Struthio camelus: one gene and its partner. The protein of the gene in region 2 interacts with the protein of the main gene of each other region in a biochemical or structural test. Links are inferred from orthologs where the notes say so. Each region holds a gene or a part of one and is shown on either strand. Other genes may lie near its edges. The genes, in order: PFN1 and WASL.

Region 1 (9,672 bases), on a different chromosome or scaffold from region 2:
GGCAGGGGGACGCCTGGGTCCCTCCCGGACACCTGGGCCCCCTGACCGCCCCCGCCCCCGCAGCCTTCCACAGCCGCTGCGTGGACCCCTGGCTGACGCGCACCCGCCGCACCTGCCCCGTGTGCAAGCAGCGGGTGCCGCCGGGCACCGAGGAGCCGGCGCCCCAGGGCGACACGGGCGCCTCCGAGCGCACCCCGCTGCTGCCCCCCGCCCCCGTCTGACGCGGACGCCGGGGCCCCCCAATAAAGGCTCGTGGCCAACCCGGCTCCGGCTCCTCTCGGGGATCGGGGGGAGGCACCGCACCCCGGACGCCCCCGGCACCCGAGCGGGGCTCCAGCATCGCTCGAACCTGCCGCCCGAACTCGCCCCCGGCTCCAGCACCCAAGGGGGGTCCGGGACGCCCCAGCTGAGCCGGTCCCCAGCACCCCAGACCCCTCCAGCACCCAAAGGGGCTCCAGCACCTTGAACCACCTCTGGGACCCCCCTGTCCTGCCCCAGCAGCCCAAGGGGCTCCGGGACCCCAAACCCAGGGCTCGAGCTGGTCCCTGGGCCCCAGACCAGCTCCAGCACCCAGAGGACCCTCCAGGACCCCCCACCCAGCTCCACCAGCCCAGCCCAGCTCCAGCACCCAGAGGACCCTCCAGGACCCCCCAATCTGGCTCCAGCACCCAAAGGTGCTCTGGACCCCCCAGCTCTCCCCAACGCACCCAAGGGTGCCCCGTCCCCCCCTCCCATCCCCCGTGACGCTGGCTCCAGCCTGGCCGGACTTTGCCCCGGGCAGGCCCAGGCGTCCCCGTCCCCCCCCCCCAGCGGCGCGGGCCCCGGTGTCCGGGCGCAGCAGCAGCAGGCGGGTGCCGCGGGTGCCGCAGCCTTTATTGGGTCAGTACTGGGAGCGCCGCAGGTGCGCCGCCATCTCGTAGCACTTCTTGTTGACGCAGCCGCCGTGGACGCCCTCCTTGCCCATCACCAGCACGATCGCTGCGGGGGGGGGGGGGGTCAGCAGGGCCCAGGCGTCCGGGAAACCCCTCCATGGGGGGGCCCGGCCCACCGGGAACCCTCCCACATCCCCCCCCCCGCAAGGGGGCCCAGGCGTCCGGGTGCAGCTGCTCCGCGAGGGGAACAGCTGCCCCTTCTCACAACAGCTGGGGGGGCAGAGGGGCCCAGGCATCCGGGGGGGATGGGGAAGCGACCCAGGGACCCAGGCATCCGGGGACAGAGCAACAGGGAGCTGGGAGGGGGGAGGGGATGGGAAAGGGACCCAGGCGTCCAGGAGGAGCGAGCAGAGGGGAGGGGATCCAGCACCCAGCAGGGAGGATGGAGGGACCCAGGCGTCCGGGGCAGGTGCGGGGGTGACCCAGGGGCAGCACAGAGGGGCCCAAGCGTTCGGGCATGGTGTGGAGCAGATGCGGAGGTAACGTGGGGTTGGCGTGAGGGGCCCAGGTGCCCGGGGCGGGTGCAGAGCGCACACGGGGGCGGCGTGAGGGGCCCAGGTGTCCAGGGTGGGCGCAGAGCGGACACGGGGGCGGCGCGAGGGGCCCAGGTGCCCGGGGCGGGTGCAGAGCGGACACGGGGTTGGCGTGAGGGGCCCAGGTGTCCAGGGTGGGCGCAGAGCGCACACAGGGGGGACGTGGGGGTGGCACGAGGGGCCCAGGTGCCCGGGGCGGGCGCAGAGCGCACACAGGGGGGACGTGGGGGTGACACGAGGGGCCCAGGTGCCCGGGGCGGGCGCAGAGCGCACACGGGGGGGACGCGAGGGGCCCGGGCGGACACTCACTCTTGTTGGTGACGGTGGCGGTGATGTTGAAGGTGGGGGCGCCGGCGGCGCTCTTGGTGCGCAGGTCCATGCTGTGCTCGCCCTCCACCAGCAGCGAGTCGCGGATGACGGAGCACTTCTGCCCGCCCAGCGTCAGCCCGTTCACCAGCAGGCTGCTCCGGTCCTTCCCCACCAGCGCGTTCACCTCCGCCGCCTGCCGGGCCACGACCCCCGCCGTCAGGGACCCAGGTGTCCGGGCGGGGGGGCGTGGCCCGCCCTGACACCCCCCCGGGGACCCAGGCGTCCGGGGCAGCACCGTGAGCCGCCCTGACACCCCCCCGGGGACCCAGGCGTCCGGGGCAGCACCGTGAGCCCGCCCTGACACCCCTCTGGGGACCCAGGCGTCCGGGGCAGCACCATGAGCCCGCCCTGACACCCCCCCGGGGACCCAGGCGTCCGGGGCAGCACCGTGAGCCGCCCTGACACCCCTCCTTGGGACCCAGGCGTCCGGGGCAGCACCATGAGCCTGCCCTGACACCCCTCCTCGGGACCCAGGCGTCCGGGGCAGCACCGTGAGCCACCCTGACACCCCTCCTCGGGACCCAGGCGTCCGGGGCAGCACCGTGAGCCGCCCTGACACCCCCCCGGGGACCCAGGCGTCCGGGGCAGCACCGTGAGCCACCCTGACACCCCTCCTCAGGACCCAGGCGTCCGGGGCAGCACCGTGAGCCCGCCCTGACACCCCTCCTCGGGACCCAGGCGTCCGGGGCAGCACCGTGAGCCGCCCTGACACCCCCCCGGGGACCCAGGCGTCCGGGGCAGCACCGTGAGCCCGCCCTGACACCCCTCCTCGGGACCCAGGCGTCCGGGGCAGCACCGTGAGCCTGCCCTGACACCCCTCTGGGGACCCAGGCGTCCGGGGCAGCACCATGAGCCCGCCCTGACACCCCTCCTCGGGACCCAGGTGTCCGGGGCAGCACCGTGAGCCCGCCCTGACACCCCCCCGGGGACCCAGGCGTCCGGGGCAGCACCGTGAGCCACCCTGACACCCCTCCTCGGGACCCAGGCGTCCGGGGCAGCACCGTGAGCCCGCCCTGACACCCCTCCTCGGGACCCAGGCGTCCGGGGCAGCACCGTGAGCCGCCCTGACACCCCCCCGGGGACCCAGGCGTCCGGGGCAGCACCGTGAGCCCGCCCTGACACCCCTCCTCGGGACCCAGGCGTCCGGGGCAGCACCGTGAGCCGCCCTGACACCCCTCCTCGGGACCCAGGCGTCCGGGGCAGCACCGTGAGCCGCCCTGACACCCCCCCGGGGACCCAGGCGTCCGGGGCGCCCAAGAGCCCAGACCAGCACCAGCTCCTCCAGGGACCCAGGCGTCCGGGCGCCCGCCCCGGCACCCTCCACAGGCAGGACCCAGGCGTCCGGGGCATCCCCAGCCGCGCCGGCCCAGGCGTCCCGGACCCCACCCAACGCCCTGCCGGGGGCCCAGGCGTCCGGGAGCTCCCTCAGCCTCCGCCAGGGGCCCAGGCGCCCGGGCACCCCTCTGCCCGCCGCCCCGGGGGGCCCAGGCGCCCCCTCCCCTCCCCCACAGGAAGCCCCGGCCGCCCCTCCCCCGCCGGGGGGAAGTTGCCACATTCCGCGCATTTTTCTCAGCGGGGGGAGGGGGGAGACACCGGCGACCCCTCGGCGGGCGGGCAGAGGGCCCAGGCGTCCGGGCCCCCCCGCAGCCCCTCCGCCACGTGCTCGCCGCAGCCCGGACGCCGGGGCTCCTTCCCCAAACCGGGGGTGGCTGGGGAAGGGGAGGGGGTAAAGGGCGCCCGGGCCCCCCGCTGGAGCGGGGAAGGGGGGCGGCCCGGGCGCCTGGGCCCCCCCGCGCGGCCCGGCCGCCTGGGTCCCCTCCCCGGCGGCGGGGGGGGCCGGGCCACGCTGGCAGCGGCCGGGGCCGCTCCCGGACGCATTTTTCTCCCTTTTTTGTCCCGATTGGGGCCGGGGGGGGGAAGGGGATGGGATGGGGGGGATGGGCAGGATCCGGCCCCCCCTCCCCCCGGTCACTTCCTGCCGGCGGGGGGAGGGGCCGGGCCCGACCCCCGGCCCGGGGGGGCCGCGGCGCGGGCGGGCGGGGGGGGGGGCCGGACGCCTGGGCCGGCGGGGGGGCCCGGGGACACCCCGCGCCCCGGGACCGCCGCGGAATCGCCCCCAACGGCCGCCGCCCCCCCGCGGCGCCGCCGCCCGGGCCCCACCGTGATGTTGGCGAAGGTCTTGCCGGGGGTGGCGGCCCAGACGGCCGGCGTGTCCTTGTAGCCGACGATGGCGGCGTCCTGGCAGGTGCCGTCCGCCATGAGGCTCTCCACGTAGGGCGCCCACCCGCTCATGGCGGCGGCGGCGGCGGCGGCGGCGCGGGCCGGGCGGGCGGGGCGGGGCCGGCGGGGGCGGGGCCGGCGGCGGCGGCGGCGGCGCGTGCGCGGAGCGGGCGGCGGGCGCGAGACGGGGCCCCGCGGCGGGGCCGCGCGCCGCCTTTCATAGCCCCGCGCGGCGGGGGCGGGGCTTCCGCGGGGCGGGGCTCGCCCGCAGGGGGCGGGGCTCGCCCGCAGGGGGCGGGGCCGCCGCGGGACACGCCCCCCCCAGCCCGCCCGGCGGCGGCGGCGGCGGCGGCGGCAGAGCGACCCCGGGCAGCGGCGGGCGCTGGGCGACAGGCGCTGCCCCCCCCCCAGCACTGCCCCCCCCGGGCACTGCAACCCCCCCGGCACTGCAAACCCCCCCCCCCCCGCACTGCAACCCCCCCCGGGGCACTGCACTCCCCCCCCCCCCGGGCACTGCACTCCCCCCCCCCCCGGCGCTGCCCCCCCCCCCCCGGGCACTGCACACCCCCCCCCCCCAGCACTGCACCCACCCCCCCAGCACTGCAACCCCCCCCCCCGGGCACTGCACCCCCCCCCCCCCGGGCACTGCACAAGGGGCGCTGTATGACGGGTGCTGCACCTCAGACACTGCCCCCCCCCGACACTGCACCCCCCCCCCGGCACTGCATAATGGGCACTGCACCGCAGGCACTGCACAGCGGGTGCTGCACCCCCCCCCCGGGCACTGCACACCCAGCACTGCACCTGCTAGCGCTGCCCCCCCCAGCATTGCATCCATGTGCACTGCACACGCACAGCCCGGGTGTTGCATCCACCTGTGTTGCATCCCCGGGGCACCGTGCACGTGCACACACGTGTGCAGACACTGCGCACACACACACACACACGCACACACACACACGCACACACACACACGCGCACACACACGCGCACACACACACGCGCACACACACACGCGCACACACGCACACGCACACACAAGCGCACACGCACGCACAGATGTGCACCCCCCACCCCCCCCCGGGGATTGCACATGCAAACCAGTCAGTGCATCCCCGTGCACTGCATCCCTCCGGCGTCGCACACGCAACATCTGGGCACTGCAGCTCCCTCCCGCCCCCCCGCCCCCCTCGAGCGTTGCACGCACACGTGCGCACGCCCCCCCCCCCCCCAGCAGCCCCTCCGGGTGCGGCACCCTTGTGCTGTGTGCACCCGCGGGTGCATCGCACCCCCCGGCCTTGCAGCCGGGTGCGTTGCACCCTCCTCGTGCCGTGCAACCCGCGGGCATCACCGCGCCTTGCACGCCCCTGCACGTCGCCCCCCCCCTTGCACCCCTCCCCGGCCTCCGCACCCCCCTTTGCACGGCCCCTCCCTGCGGGTGACACCCCACGTTTCCTGCCGCCACGGCCCCCCCGGCGTCGCCCTCGGTGGCGCGTTGCACCTCTTCGCGGCCCCCTCCCCAGCTCCCTGCGCCGGGACCCCCGTGTCCGTGTCACACGCAGCCCCCCGGACATGCGTGTCCTCGTGCCAGCATGGAGCAACGCACAGGCCGTGCGGCGCCTCGGCCCCTGTGCGACACCCCCCCGGTGCAATGCAGCCCCCCGTGTGGTGCAGCCCCAGTGCAATGCAACCCCTGGTGCAACGCACCCAACTCCCGGTGCAACGCACCCCTCGTGCACTGCAACCCCTGGTGCAACGCACCCAACTCCCGGTGCAACGCACCCCTCGTGCACTGCAACCCCTGGTGCAATGCACCCAACTCCCGGTGCAACACACCCCTCGTGCACTGCAACCCCTGGTGCAACGCACCCAACTCCCGGTGCAACGCACCCCTCGTGCAATGCAACCCCTGGTGCAACGCACCCAACTCCCGGTGCAACGCACCCCTCGTGCAGTGCAACCCCTGGTGCAACGCACCCAACTCCCGGTGCAACGCACCCCTCGTGCAGTGCAACCCCTGGTGCAACGCACCCAACTCCCGGTGCAACGCACCCCTCGTGCACTGCAACCCCTGGTGCAACGCACCCAACTCCCGGTGCAACGCACCCCTCGTGCACTGCAACCCCTGGTGCAACGCACCCAATTCCCGGTGCAACGCACCCCTCGTGCACTGCAACCCCTGGTGCAACGCACCCAACTCCCGGTGCAACACACCCCTCGTGCAATGCAACCCCTGGTGCAACGCACCCAATTCCCGGTGCAACGCACCCCTCGTGCACTGCAACCCCTGGTGCAACACACCCAACTCCCGGTGCAACGCACCCCTCGTGCAATGCAACCCCTGGTGCAACGCACCCAACTCCCGGTGCAACGCACCCCTCGTGCAATGCAACCCCTGGTGCAACGCACCCAACTCCCGGTGCAACGCACCCCTCGTGCACTGCAACCCCTGGTGCAACGCACCCAACTCCCGGTGCAACGCACCCCTCGTGCACTGCAACCCCTGGTGCAACCCACCCCTCGCGCCATGAGCCCCCCAGCACAGCGCAACCCCAGAGCAAACCAACTCCTGGTGCAACGCCCCCCCCCGTGCGATGCCCCCCCGCCGCGCTCCCCGCCCCGTGCACACGCGTGTGCGATCGCACATGCATCGGCCCATATCTCCCGGCTGCTTTGAGTCAGCCCCGGGCGGGGACTTTCCGGGGGGGGGAGGGGGGGAGGGGCGGCGGTTTCACTTCCTGTCCCGGGCGGGGGAGGGGGCCGAGGCGCCGGCGCTGGGGGCAGGCGGCGTCCGGGGGACCCAGGCGTCCGGGCAGCGGGCCCTGGACCCCGCGCCTGCCTGGGGACCCAGGCGTCCGGGGGACCAGGGGGTCGGAGGCAGCCGGGCGCCTGCCCCTCCCCCCCGCTGCGAACTTCCCCCAGCAGTGTCGCCACCGCGGCCCCTCCCCCGCTCACGCCAACCCGGGGCATCATGGGAAATGGGGGGGGGGCAGGAAACCAGCTCGTCCTGGCCGAGGGACCCAGGCGTCCGGGGGCCCCTCTGCCCCCCCCCGGGGCCCAGACATCCGGGGCCCCCCCCGGGGCCCAGGCGTCCGGGGGCCCAGGCGTCCAGGGGCCCTGCCCCCCCCGGGGCCCAGGCGTCCGGGCCCGCCCCGCCCCCGCCCCGCTGTGGGAACTTCCCCGGGAAGTGGGTTTTTAGCAGCGAGCGGAGCCGGGGCCCCTCCCCCTCCCCCTGCCCTATGGGCTCCATAGGGCCCGACCCCCCCCCAACGTCCCCTATAGGCCCCACGGGGCCCATCTCCCCCCTCCCGTTTCCCCTATAGGGCCCCGGCCCCTATAGACCCCGCAGGGCCCCTCCCCTCCCCCCATCCCCTATGGATCCCATAGGACCGGTGCCATTCCCAGCACAGCCGCCAGGCGTCCCCCTCCCCCCCCCAGGGACCCAGGCGTCCGGGGGCTCCCCCCCCCCCCATCCTCCAGGGACCCAGGCGTCCGGGTGCTCCCCCCCCCCCATCCTCCAGGGACCCAGGTGTCCGGGCGCCCCCGTGCGGTGGGGCCCAGGAGTCGCCCAGGGACCCAGGCGTCCGGGCAGCCTCAACTCCAGGGGACCCAGGCGTCCGGGTACCCCCAGTCCCGGGGGGACCCAGGTGTCCGGGTGCCCCCAGCCCAAGGGGGACCCAGGCATCCGGGTGCTCCCCCCCCCACATCCTCCAGGGACCCAGGCGTCCGGGCAGCCTCGGGGGGACCCAGGCATCTGGCTGCTCCCAGCCCACGGGGGCCCAGGCGTCCGGGCGTCTCGAGTTACCGTGTCCTTTCCTCGAGCTCCGACCTTTGGGGGGGGCTAAAAATAGCCCGGGGGGGGCAGGGACCATCGCAAAGTGCCACCAGGGCCACCAGCGCCCGGACGCCTGGGCCCCCTGGGGGCTGCGAAGCCTGGTGGGGGAGGGGGGCAGCTGGGCCCCCCCGGACACCTGAACCCCCTGGGGGGGGCAGCGGGGCAGAGCGGGGGTCCCCGGACGCCTGGGCCCCCGGGGGGGCAGTCAGGCCTGGCGGGTGGGGCAGGGGCGAGCCCACCCGGACGCCTGGGCCCTGGACGCCTGGGTCCCGCGTTTGCAGATGGTCCCTGGGGGAGGCGGGGGCAGGGGATGGGCATAAAAGGCCCTCGGGGACCCCCCGGGGTCACTCGGAGCCCAACCAGCACCAGTGAGCAGCAGCGCCCGGACGCCTGGGTCCCTGTGGGGTGCCCGGACGCCTGGGACCCCCCGGATGCCTGGGACCCCTGGGGGTAGCGGGGTCTATAGTGCAGAGCGGGGCCACCCGGACGCCTGGGCCCCCCCCGGACGCCTGGGTGCCCTGAGGGCAGTGGGGTCTATAGTGCAGAGCGGGGCCACCCGGACGCCTGGGCCCCCCCCGGACGCCTGGGTGCCCTGAGGGCAGTGGGGTCTATAGTGCAGAGCGGGGCCACCCGGACACCTGGGCCCCCGGTGGGGGGGAGAAGGGCAGGGAAAGCTGGCGCTCGGACGCCTGGGCCCCCTGGTGTGGCGGGGGGCGGCGTGGCTGCGGGGGGCGCCCGGACGCCTGGGTCCCCCTGGCCCTGACGCCTGCCCCCACCCCCCCCCAGCAGCCATGTCCATCCAGAAGATCCACGCGCGGGAGATCCTCGACTCCCGCGGGAACCCCACGGTGGAGGTCGACCTGCACACGGCCAAGGGTGGGCGCCGGGGCCGGGGGGACACGGGCAGAGGTGGGGGACATGGGGGACATGGGGGGACGGGGGGGTGGGACGCAGGTAGCTGGTGGGACATGGGGGGACATAGGAGGTCCTGGGGGGACATGGGGGAATGTGGGAGGGCCTGGGGGCATGTGGGGGGGACATAGGGGGCCCATGGGGGGTTGTGGCCCCCCCCGGCTCACTCCAGCCCCCCAGGCCACTTCCGCGCTGCCGTCCCCAGCGGCGCCTCCACGGGGATCCACGAGGCCCTGGAGCTCCGCGATGGCGACAAGAGCCGCTACCTGGGCAAAGGTGAGACCCCACAGGGCCCCCCAAGACCCAGCAACCCCCCCAAGACCCAACCGAGACCCCCAAAACCCAACGATCCCCCCCAAGACCCAGCCGGGTCCTCCAAGACCCAAATGAGTCCCCCAAAGCCCGACAAACTCCTCAAAACCCAGCCGGATCCCTCAAAACCCAACTGGGTCCCCCAAGACCCAACTAGATCCCCCAAGACCCCACTGAGCCTCCCAAGACCTAACGATCCCCCCCAAGACCCCTCTGGGTGCCCCAAAACCCAACGACCTCCCCAAGACCCAACTGGATCCCTCAAAACCCAGCTGGATCCCCCCAAGACCCAATGACCTCCAAAGACCCCCTGAATCCCTGCCCTCCCTGCTCCCCTCTGCCCCCCATCTCCCTCTCCATTTGCCCCCATGGGTGGGGTGACGAGGACCCCAGGGTGGGGGCTCGCACCCCCTAACCCCCGCCGTGCCCCCAGGTGTGCTGAAGGCAGTGGAGCACATCAACAAGACCATCGGACCCGCCTTGGTGGAGAAGGTCAGTGTGGCCTGAGTGGGGGTCAGGGTGGGGGCCAGGGTGGGGAGTCCAGATCCCCCCCACCCCC
Region 2 (10,575 bases):
CACACAGAAGCAAGGCTATTAAAAACGTACTAACACTACAGTGACAGTTTGATACAACAATGAAACCTCAAGGCTGAACATATCCATTGGATGAAGGATGACCTTGTGATAGGGATCTTGATCCTTGGTCTAATGGATGGCAGGAGAACAAGAACTGGCCTGGGCAGGAAGCAAGTGTCTCAGTGATTCCACAAAACAGGGCAGTAAAGATCTGATACTGTAAGCCCTAGTAGAAGACAGAATCCCAAAAGGAATCAGAGTACAGTTCATGCCTATCCCTTATGGTTGTTATATGCTGGATACAGAATTAAAAAAAAATAGAGAAAAACTACATGAAAACCATCCACCCAGATCCGCATTGCAATTGTCACTGAATTACAATACCTATTTGACAGTTGTTCAGTGACCTATTGGGAGTAAAGTACCCATCTCAAGCCAACTCGTAGAGGGTACATACTTATGTCATATTTAGTACTTCCAGTAAAAACGGCAGATTTTGAATGTACTTGACTGTGCTACCCTCATCTCAGTAAAGATGAGGCTTCCTGGCAAGGACCAAGCAGATTGTGAAGGGCGTTCAGTCACGCTGCAAAGAAGAACTGAGTTTTCAAAGCCAGAGCAAGCGTTCTGTCATCAATGGAATCTGCTGTAGCAACATATTTGCAGATTGCAGTGAAGGAAAGAACATGCTTTCCTTTTTCCTTTTTTTTTTTTTTTTTTTTGAAGGGGTGAGGTTCTTGAGTGCTATGGTGGCTGATTCATGGTTGAAGCGAGATTTCATTACACTGAATTTAAAAGCTGTCAGGAAACTCAGAGGAAGGAATAAATGTTCCTTTCAACATCTGTGGATAAATAAAATAAACTCATCTACTCCATTCATATTTATCACTGGGTGTAAAACTCAGAAATCATACCTCTGCTAAGGTAAAAACCAAGCACAGAGAATAAAAACAGTGTCCCAACAAACCTTGTGGATATAGAGTTTTTGGAGATGAGCTTTGATGCAAGGATAGATTCTAGCTAAGCTTGGGAAAGAAAAATGTTTTCCTCTGATTTGCAGAGCGGCTACAGAAATGTGCCACAGTTTCTGCAGCCAGCGATCAGCATACCTGTATAACAGAGAATTATTAAGAGGAGAGATAGGATGTTTCAGATACTAGTATGTGTTTTGGTCTGTCTTCTCCACAGCCCTGAAAAGGAGGATAATACAGTCCAATGAAGGAAGCAGAAAGGAGCTCTTGAAAAGAGCTAGGTCTCCCCCTGACTGATTTCACAGTTAAAACAATACCGCCGAAACCTTGCACCAGTATATCCAAAATATGATTCTTCATCCAAAGCAAAATCAATGTTATCCTTTGGTAAGCAGGACGGAAGGACACAAATTCTTCTCCTTCACCTTAAAGTCAACAGTCCGATATTGAAAATGAGAAGAAAGGATACAGCAACCAGAAAGAAATGAGTAACAGGCAATACAGGGAAAGAAAAATTCTAGCTAGTACCCAAGGCAGCATTTATGCAATGAATGAAAGAACTTACTGTCCTGCTATGTCGGTTCTCAGGCTTTAGCCTGCTCATTCCAGTGGCAAGGACGCTCTTCTGCGTGGCTGGCCCACAAAAGGAAACGATTCTTCCTACTAACCCTACAGGTTCATACGCATAAGGAATTATCAGAGGCTTTGCTGGATGATTAAAATAAAACTTAACTGCCAACTTTGCAACTTCTGTGGCTACTTCATGTCCTTCCGTGCCTGAAATGTTTAGTATATAAATTCAATAAATAGGAAAAAAAACAAATATAGACTCCTGGCTCTGTTTATTCCAGACTATTCCCTCCCCCCACTCCTGAACAAATAATCAAATATAAAATCTCTGTGAGAAAGGAAATACAGTAACTGCATCTGAAACTAACCATAAATTAACAGATGATTCAGTTACTTCCAGAGTAGGCTGAGATTCTTAAGCACTTAAAGGTTCAGTGCACAGAGAGCAGAAGCGAATGAACTTCTTTTCAGTATAATAACTAATATGCTATTTATATTGATTCAGTAACAATCTGAAACCAATTCTCTTAGATGAGTTCTATGTTGAGAGAAAAAAAAAAAGTGGTTTACTTAAAAAAGGGAACTTGTATCTTCACAAATCAAACATTATTTTCAACCACAATGAGAGTTCCTTTTTTTTGGTTACCACAAGTGGTTTTGCAGTAAATGGACCAGCGAACTCTACAGGCACAACCAAAAAGGGTGCTCAAGGAAACAAGGTCTTCTTTCCTTTTGCCCAGACTTTTACTATCCTGTTGACATACCCCTTAAACGTGGTGACAGTAATCATACATTCTTACTTCTCTTCTCCCCCCAGCCATATTTATGTGGTCACTGCAACGATGTAGGCACTTGTACTATGCTGTTCCACTTCTCATTGAATATAAAATGGAAGAGAGACGACAATATTTTTTTCCTATTGAGATCTTCATTCCTCTTTAAGCCTGCTTATTCTTCGTGTAATCAACCACCAAAGACTGCGTGACCTAAATTCAGTACTGGGACAAAATCAAGACTTGGAAAATGCAGTGCCACTACTAAAAATAAACAGACAAAATCCTTGGTGAACTGCTTCCGAGTGGAAACATTTCATCTCTTTCATTTAGATAATTAATTGTTATGTTTTAGAATGTGACCCTCACAAAACCTTTAAAATATGCTATGATTCACAGTGCTAGAAAGATCAACCTTAGGTAGAATGCTTTCCTCTCTTTTTTGCTTTTATTATTTTCAATTGCAGAATTTTATTTCTGAAATTGTATAAATACGTAAATTCTGAAATTCAAAGCACGCGACTTCAGAATAGTTATAGTATTCAACTTGTGCTTGTGACAAACTGTTGAAAAATGTAGACGTCCATATGTAAGGGTAGAATTCAGAGACATATATTTCTGTCAAAGGTATGTTTGACAAGGATAATAATTGTTTATTAAATAGTTGTTTACAATATAAACCTTTAAAATCATTACACTTGCTTATATCAATAGATGTATGTCACTTTCAACGTAGCTCAGTACCTTGGGACTATGAGCTGGTATTTTAACAATTTTGAAAGAAAAATACAAATGAGCATCAGGCTGCCGCAAAGCTTGTAGGAGTCAGCAGTGGGCAACGCAGTTTCAACCTTAGGGACTACAGTGAGAAATTCAGAGCAAAGCCTATGATAAAGGACAGCAATTTCTCTAAGACAGGTCAGCCAGAACACTGCAATTTCTTTCAAAGATAGCCAGGTAATTCTGGTTTGTGGCTTTGCTTAAAAGAACTTTCCTTGAAATTGGATGTGTTACGCAGAAATAGCAGCTCTTTGCTGGTATTACTGCTAATGTAAATATCAAAGGCAAAAATCTATTTTTCAGTGGGTCCCTTGGACTTACGACCAACTATTGATATTTCCATTTCACTTCAGGACTCACTCTTTTGCCATGATATAAAAACAGAAATGGCTTTTGCATAATTAATGAAACACAGCAGTTGAAAATAGTCCCCCCTTCCCACCCCCCCCTTCCTGTCTACCCTTAGTAAAAAAAGCAAACAAAATCCTAACAACAGAGTCTGGTTAAAGGGCCCTTAAGAATAGCTACTGGCCAGCTGGTCTGAGAAGAACACTCACTATGAAGCAAAAAGTATCACCAGTAACAATAAAACTTTATCTGGATGCAAAGATCCATACAACAAGGAATAAACAGTTAACATGAACAAAAATGAGAAAAACATCACTAAACTTAACGGGTCAAGGTGAGGAAAGTACCTATCAGAGGCCTACCATATTTTTAATTCAGCTATTTACATTGTGACCACCAATACAAGTACATACATTTCCTTGGAAAGGGTTTTGGCTATAAAATAACTCATTGCTTTATGAAACAAAAAACAAGTGCCTTGTAAAGTAGTTCATATCTGTTATCTTTTCACATACGTTCTCAATGAACGAAATGCTGCCAAAATTCTAATACACTTCAACTAAAATATTTCCCTTTCCACTAAAATACATTCTAAGTCTGGATACACTTACACGGAAAAGGAATTAAAACTGAATAATAACCTATTATTGCTGAAATGTATGTTGTAAGCATTTGGGTCCTATTCAGTGTTTTTCCTTTATAACAAAGGCCCTAGCCACTTACATGACATCTGCACATTGAGGAATGCTGTATATGCCTTTATTTTAACCTTTTGTACTGGAGGCTCAGGATTTTCCCCCATACATTTCCCCTTCCTCACACTTTCAAACACTGTTACAGGCTCTTTTAAGTAAGGGGAAAAGGGCCTAGAAGCAGTGCAGAAGGGTTTGCCATTTGTTCCCGCCTGATCTTTTGGAAGATGTGAAGGAAAGTCAGCACAACTGCGTACCAAGATTTGTGCTCACACGTTCTCCTCCTGTGCTTGTTTTTTTTTTTTTTTTAATACAAAGTAAATCATCACAGGAAGACTGGTTTGGCATTTTCCAGATGCACAACAAATTTATCAGAGAGGATGAAGTCAACCTATTCTTCGCTTAAAAATACTGAGAGAACTAGCAGGGTGCTCACTTGGACATCTGGCTTTCACCTTCATACTGGGAGGAGCATGAGCACTTCTCCTGCGGAGCTGCAAGTCGGCCTGGGCAGCGGGCAGCTGTGCTCTGGACTGCAGGGCTTGGAAAGGTCTTCAGCTCCATCCTGGCTAGCAACTACTGCACGGAGAGAGGCAGAGGGAACAGAAACCTAGCTGGCAAAGCATACCGACTGCGTACGCAGCTCCTCTGCGCTGACCCCCTGGAAAGCCTAAGTACCTGCTACTATTTCTACTTGCTATTTTACCTCAGACTGCAAAAGCCTGTGTTTAGGAGGGTAGAGTCTCGCACACCCCCTCCTACGTCTCTGTGTGACCGAGCACGGAGGAGCTGCCTCTGCGCAGCAAAGGCTGCAGGAATTACCCACCCCGCGCAACACAGCTTGGAACAGCAAAACTGACTGGATGATTTGCCAGATAAGCCATCAGGAAACATTTTCCTTTCAATAACAAACATTCAAAGGATTTTTGAGTTATAAATTAACTCACATTTGACTAAAAATTTAACAGGAATTCAACCCTGGCCTTCTAACACGCTCTTCATCACCTCCATCCTCAAAGCACTGCACGAAGCCAACCACACTGCGCGCTCACGTTGGTAACGAACTTAAGCAAAAACGACAACGGCGGAGGGGGGGGGTTTCACCACGAACGCTTTTTATGCCCTGTCCCGTTCCGGGTGACTTTTGAGTACGGGCCCGAATTTTTCTGACACGTTTTCCTCACACGGGTGGGCAGCGGCGGCTACCTCGCCGCCTCAGCCCCCGCCACCGCTCCCCGTCCGGCCCGGCCGCCGCCTCGCCGCCAGCCTGGATTCCGCTCCGGGCCCAGCGGCCGGGCGCGCTCCTCCCGGCCCCGGCCCCGGCCCCGGCCCCGGCCCCGGCCCCGGCCCCCTCCGCCAGCAGCCGCCGAGCCGAGCCGGCCCGGCAGGTATTGAGGGGGGAGGGCGCGGGGCGGCCCCCGCCAGCTGCGTGAGCCAGCGCGGCCCGCCCAGGGGCTGCCGGCCGGGGCGGGGCGGAGCAGGGCGGGACGGGACGGGACGGGACGGCAGGCGGCGGGTCCCCGCACCGCGCATGGTAGCGGCGGCGGCGGCGGCAGCAGCGCGCTCGCCGGCCTCCCCTCTGGCTGCCGCGCGCTGTGGTCTCGCCCGCCCCCGCTGCCATGTTGGATTGTGCGGCCGCCGGAGCCGGGCCGAAGTTGGAAGTTTAGTGGCCGCCGCGGGGGTGGGCGCGATCCGCCGGCGGCGGCGGGGCGGCCCGACGCCTCCTCTCTCCCCTCCCCTCCCCCGCGGGCCGCCGGCAGCTCGCCGAGGCCCGGCCGCCGCTCTCCCCCCGCCCCCTCCCGCCTTCCCCGGCCCCGAGAGGGAGGCTCCGCGATGCGGCTGCCGTGAGGCCGCGGCGGCCAGGAGCAGGACGAGGAGGAGGGGGCGGCCGCGGGCGCCGACGGTCGCAGCGCGGCGAGGGCAGTGCCGAGCCCCGCGGGGCCGGCGCCGGCGCCGGCCATGAGCGGCAGCCAGCAGCAGCAGCAGCCCCCGCAGCCGCGGCGGGTCAGCAACGTGGGCTCCCTGCTGCTGACCCCGCAGGAGAACGAGAGCCTCTTCACCTTCCTCGGCAAGAAATGCGTGGTGAGCCCCGCGGGGAGCGGCGCGGCGGGGGGGGGACCGGGCCCGGCCCGGGGCCGGGGCCGTGTGAGGACAGGCGGGGGACCGCGTCCGGGACCTTGTCCGCCCTCGCCTCGCCTCGCCTGGCCGGCCCGTACGCGGCTCCCAGCCCGGAAGTTTCTCCCCGGCCCAGCCGCCTTCCGCGTCGCCGGCGCCCGGGCGGGGGACGGCGCTGCAGGCCCGGCCTCCGCGCCCGCCTGGCCCAGGAGCTGCGGCCTCGCGCGGGGCCGGCGGCGGAGGAGGCGGAGGAGGAGGAGGGCTGCGGGCGGCAATGAATGAGGCGAGCGTGGCGCTGCCGCCGCCGCCGGCAGGGGAGAGGAGAGGAGGGAAGGGGAGGCCGCGCCGCCCGCAGGTGGCGGGGCCTCGCCCGCGCTGCCGCGGCCAGAGGGGGCCGCTTCCCGCAAGCGCTGCGCCGCGCCGGGCCCGGCCCGGCCCCCTGCCCGTGCGGGAGCCGTGCGCGCTGCGGGGGCGCCGGGCTGGGCCGCTCCGGGCCTGGCGCCGCCGCGGGCTGCGCGGGGCCGCTCGGCGCCGGCCGTTTCTCCGGGCGGCCCTCTGGAGCGGCGCCGGCAGCCGTGCCCAGCGCCTGCCCGGCCTGTCCTGCGGGGGGCGGCGGCGGCGAGCCCCCTCGCCTCTGCCCCGCGACCAGCCTGCGGTTTGGCCGAGGGGACGGGGCAGCCATGGAGCTGCTGCAGCAGCACTCGGTGGAAGAGTTTAATTGCCTGACGAGGCTGACATGAGTCCCGGTTGCACCTGTGGTACAACAAAGCAATACTGACAAAGTTGGAGGAAGGCTCGTGTGGGTACTAGGCCTGCCTTGGATGTAGCCTGTGCTTTTGTTAGCCTGATCAACAGGCTTGCATCTTTAGCTGCAACTTCAATACTGCGTTACTCCCTGTCAAAAAAGAAATGCGATATCAAGATTAAAAAAGGGGTGGGGGGGGGGAAAGGTGTAGTAGATGTGTTCCCAAGTTCATCAGTAAGTTCTTAGTTTCTTGAATAGCTTCTTGCCTATTAATATAATGTAGTTATGAAGTATAGTTTTAATATAATTTTCAGAGCTTCAGGAGTTAACTGCATATATTTTTTCCTAAAGGACTTATCATTTTTCAAATTATCTTTTTGAAGCCATTTTAAATGATGCTATCCTGATGTTTTCTGATACTTCACGTCCAGTGCCTAGAACAGCAACGTTAGGCACCTACACCTTCTTGTGGCACTATTTTAAAGCAGGATATCGGTGTCATCATAATACATAACCCTGTGGACTTTGAAATGGTGCTGTTGATCAAACCGGTTGTTGCAAGGAAGGAAAGAGATATAACCGAACAGGAAATGGGTGATGTTTGCATTGGGGTGAGTTAAGTAACATGAGGTTATCATAATTAAGTTGCTGCCATTTTCAGATGGGTCAGAAAGCGTGATTGTGAAATATGTAAAAAGAGACTTATGCTAAAAAGTAATACATTTGTAAGAAACACCTTTATCTCACTACTTGAATTACTTTCAGGCACACATTTCATGCATTTCATTCCATTACAAGAAAAAAAGTAAACTGTTGTCTATATTAAAAGGAAGCACATGAATTTGTGTGCTTCAGTTGATTTCCAGTTGTTTTTTCTGTGGCTTAGATTTTCTTGTCAAGGGAATGTGTCTGTTTTTGTTATGTATGCTCAGCTGTAACGCTCATCTTAAGTTTTTGAAATGTGTTATTTATGGGGATAAGTTAAACCGGCCTCAAGGTAAACAACTTCATAGTGTCTGGATGATGTGTGGTTTGTGACATGTTGATAGCTTTATAGATACAGGGTTTTTTTGTTTTTTGGTTTTTTTTTGAGACTACACATTCTTGCCATTTAGTCTGAATCTTGAATGACTTTCTAACTGAGAATTTCTTTTTATTATTTTTTTTTAATTATGGCCACCCCCTTTACCCTTCTTCTCCTGCCCTATATGTTTTCTAGCTTAAGGTCAGGCATCTTACTGTAATTGAGGGTCTATATCATATGCTTGAGGACTTGGGTCCAGAAGACTATCAAAGATAGTACTCTAGACTTCTTGGCTTTCTTTAGCATGCTGAGGCAAAATTGTGGCAATTCAGAAACTACTTTGTGAACAAATTGAACACCTCTATCCCAGGGACAGCAGTGGATAGGTACCTGGGGATGATAACAGCTTCGACTTTCCAATTTGAATCCATCAAGTCTGACAGAGCTGTATGGTACTCTGTATACCGTTGATCTTCTAATTTGAGTACAACTCAGTGTCAGTGTGCTATGCTATTTTTTTGTTTGTTTGTTTGTTCTTTACTATAACATTATATTTGATATTTTAGTAATATCCATGTTTGGAATTAGTCATTATTGAAGCTTTAGACAGTAAATATTACTAGTAAACAAAAATTTTGCAAGTTTCACAGGATGTTAAAAGTTTATTTTGACTTGGGCGGAATTGACTGTGCTACCTGGCTACTGCAGGTGGTATTTGCATCAGTTTGGACGTGGATATGCTACCGGATGTGAAGAGTAATAAACTGAGAAAACTGCTTTTAAAATGCATTGAGCATAATACAATTGTATTTGTCAAAGCCAAAATACAAGTTGCAATAATCATTGAGATAAAAGAGAATAAAAAACTGAATGGGAGCCTTAGTTCTTAATTGGTAAGACGTAAAGATTTTTATCGGGAAAGAGCCCGTAAGACTTCTTGTGCGTATGAAAACAGCATGAACTAAGACTTAAAGGCAGCTTGCAAACCAACAGACAAGTTTATGTGACTGTGAAGTATTTCAGTTGTGCTTATGCTGCTGGCTGTGCATCCATAAAGGTATCCGAAAGGTTGAGGTCCTAGCCTGAATAGGAGGCATTTCTAGGAGAGAGAAGAAGTAGTGAATCACCAGTTTAGAAGTGGTAGTTATCTCATTTAGAAACATACAAAGAGATGAGATGCAGAGGGGGAAGACAAAGCATAAAGGATAAGGCCCTGTAGGAGGCAGGAATATTAAGAGTTACATACACGTTTCTTTTGAGGTCTTTGTCATGTTTTATCAAAAGGCATACAACTTCTTTGTATGCCTCATTAATATCCAGTGGAGTAATTTCTCTAAACAACTTGTTAGCGATCATCTTCCCTTCTAGACAGAATCTCATTGGTTTTTTTTTTTTTTTTTGGTGACAGTTCCTTTGAACTAAACTTGTGCCTACAAAACTGATTCCTCACAGGAAGAGGTCAAATTGGACTCTTTGCAGCAAGTGGCTTAGCCATTGTCCTTAAACTGCTTTCATGCATCTACAATAGGGTTACTTATCATAAAATATTTCATGCTTATTTTCCTCATAGCTTGCTCTTGGACTGCAGTTGCGAAATGTGCTGAAAACAAAAGATTGTTTAGTCGTGGGTGAGAAATGTGTTGAGACCACGTATGAACACTCGAGTAGGCATTTGTGTCCCATAGTTGTTCGTATTTGAAACAAAGCATTGAGTCACCAAGAATGGGATTCGGTTCAGGATTAAGAGAGAGCAATTTAGGTGTTTGAGTTCCATTATTGTCAATAGGCGTGACTGGCTTCCGTCTAGATCTCTTAGCTTTAGACATGTACAACTAAGTATCAACTGAATTTCTGTTTTGGCTCCTGTGACTGTATTGGTTACATCTCTCCCAAGTATGCTGGTAGCAAAGAGATGTAGTTCACGTGTCAGACACCTACATGTAGGTGTCTTGACCTCTAAGTTCTACAAATTTCAGTCAGTGTGTATTTCTATCAGAGTGTTATGTGTTGCTAAACATAGAGAAGGCTTTTCTACTCACTTTTTAAAAATTTTTGAGAATAGCTCTTGAGAATTCTCCGGAGCTTTTGCATTCCCTTCTGAGCTACTTTGCAGACCTTTTCTGTTTTGAATGTAGTTGAGCGTCAGGAGTGTCTGAGCATCTCTGTGGCTAATTAGCCTGTAAAAAACATCGCCCATGCTTCTGATAAAATGCTGTGGTGTGCAGATGCAGCAGGGATGAAAGCAATTTGTACTCACACGCTGTCGTGTTGTAATTTATTAGCTCTTCACAGCTAAGAATCAGGTAGCGTTTCGGAGAGTGCAAAGTTGGAGCCTACGTTTTAATGTAGGATGCAAATGAACATCCATAAGATGTTTTGACTGCAGGATTTCCACCAAGGTGTCCAGATCTCACCTGCTCAGGCGAACGCCTAAGGAAGAGGTAGTTTTTTTGTGAGAAGATAAAGATTGTTTGAGTTTGCTATTTCATGCAAGTATGTAAATAGAAAGACTTTGCTCCTCCTTTAATGAAGAATTCATGTGATTTCTCTGCATTAT

The links.
Region 1: the proteins of WASL (region 2) and PFN1 form a complex in vitro, tested with the Homo sapiens proteins (2 studies listed by BioGRID). The link is inferred for Struthio camelus from reciprocal best matches to the Homo sapiens genes WASL and PFN1.

Annotation. Positions count from the first base shown.
Region 1 is NW_027182728.1:90,108-99,779, reverse strand, and holds PFN1 (profilin-1), read right to left. Parts: upstream 4,241-9,672; 5' UTR 4,127-4,240; coding exon 3,995-4,126; intron 1,968-3,994; coding exon 1,775-1,967; intron 979-1,774; coding exon 881-978; 3' UTR 855-880; downstream 1-854. Other genes in the region: E3 ubiquitin-protein ligase RNF167, read left to right, coding at 64-221; ENO3 (beta-enolase), read left to right, coding at 8,200-8,257, 8,676-8,765, 8,982-9,077, 9,547-9,605. UniProt on the Homo sapiens protein: Binds to actin and affects the structure of the cytoskeleton. At high concentrations, profilin prevents the polymerization of actin, whereas it enhances it at low concentrations. By binding to PIP2, it inhibits the formation of IP3 and DG.
Region 2 is NC_090942.1:24,922,035-24,932,609, forward strand, and holds the start of WASL (actin nucleation-promoting factor WASL), read left to right. Parts: upstream 1-5,623; 5' UTR 5,624-6,093; coding exon 6,094-6,216; intron 6,217-7,382; exon of another isoform or gene 7,383-7,524; coding exon of another isoform or gene 7,525-7,605; intron 7,606-10,575. UniProt on the Homo sapiens protein: Regulates actin polymerization by stimulating the actin-nucleating activity of the Arp2/3 complex. Involved in various processes, such as mitosis and cytokinesis, via its role in the regulation of actin polymerization.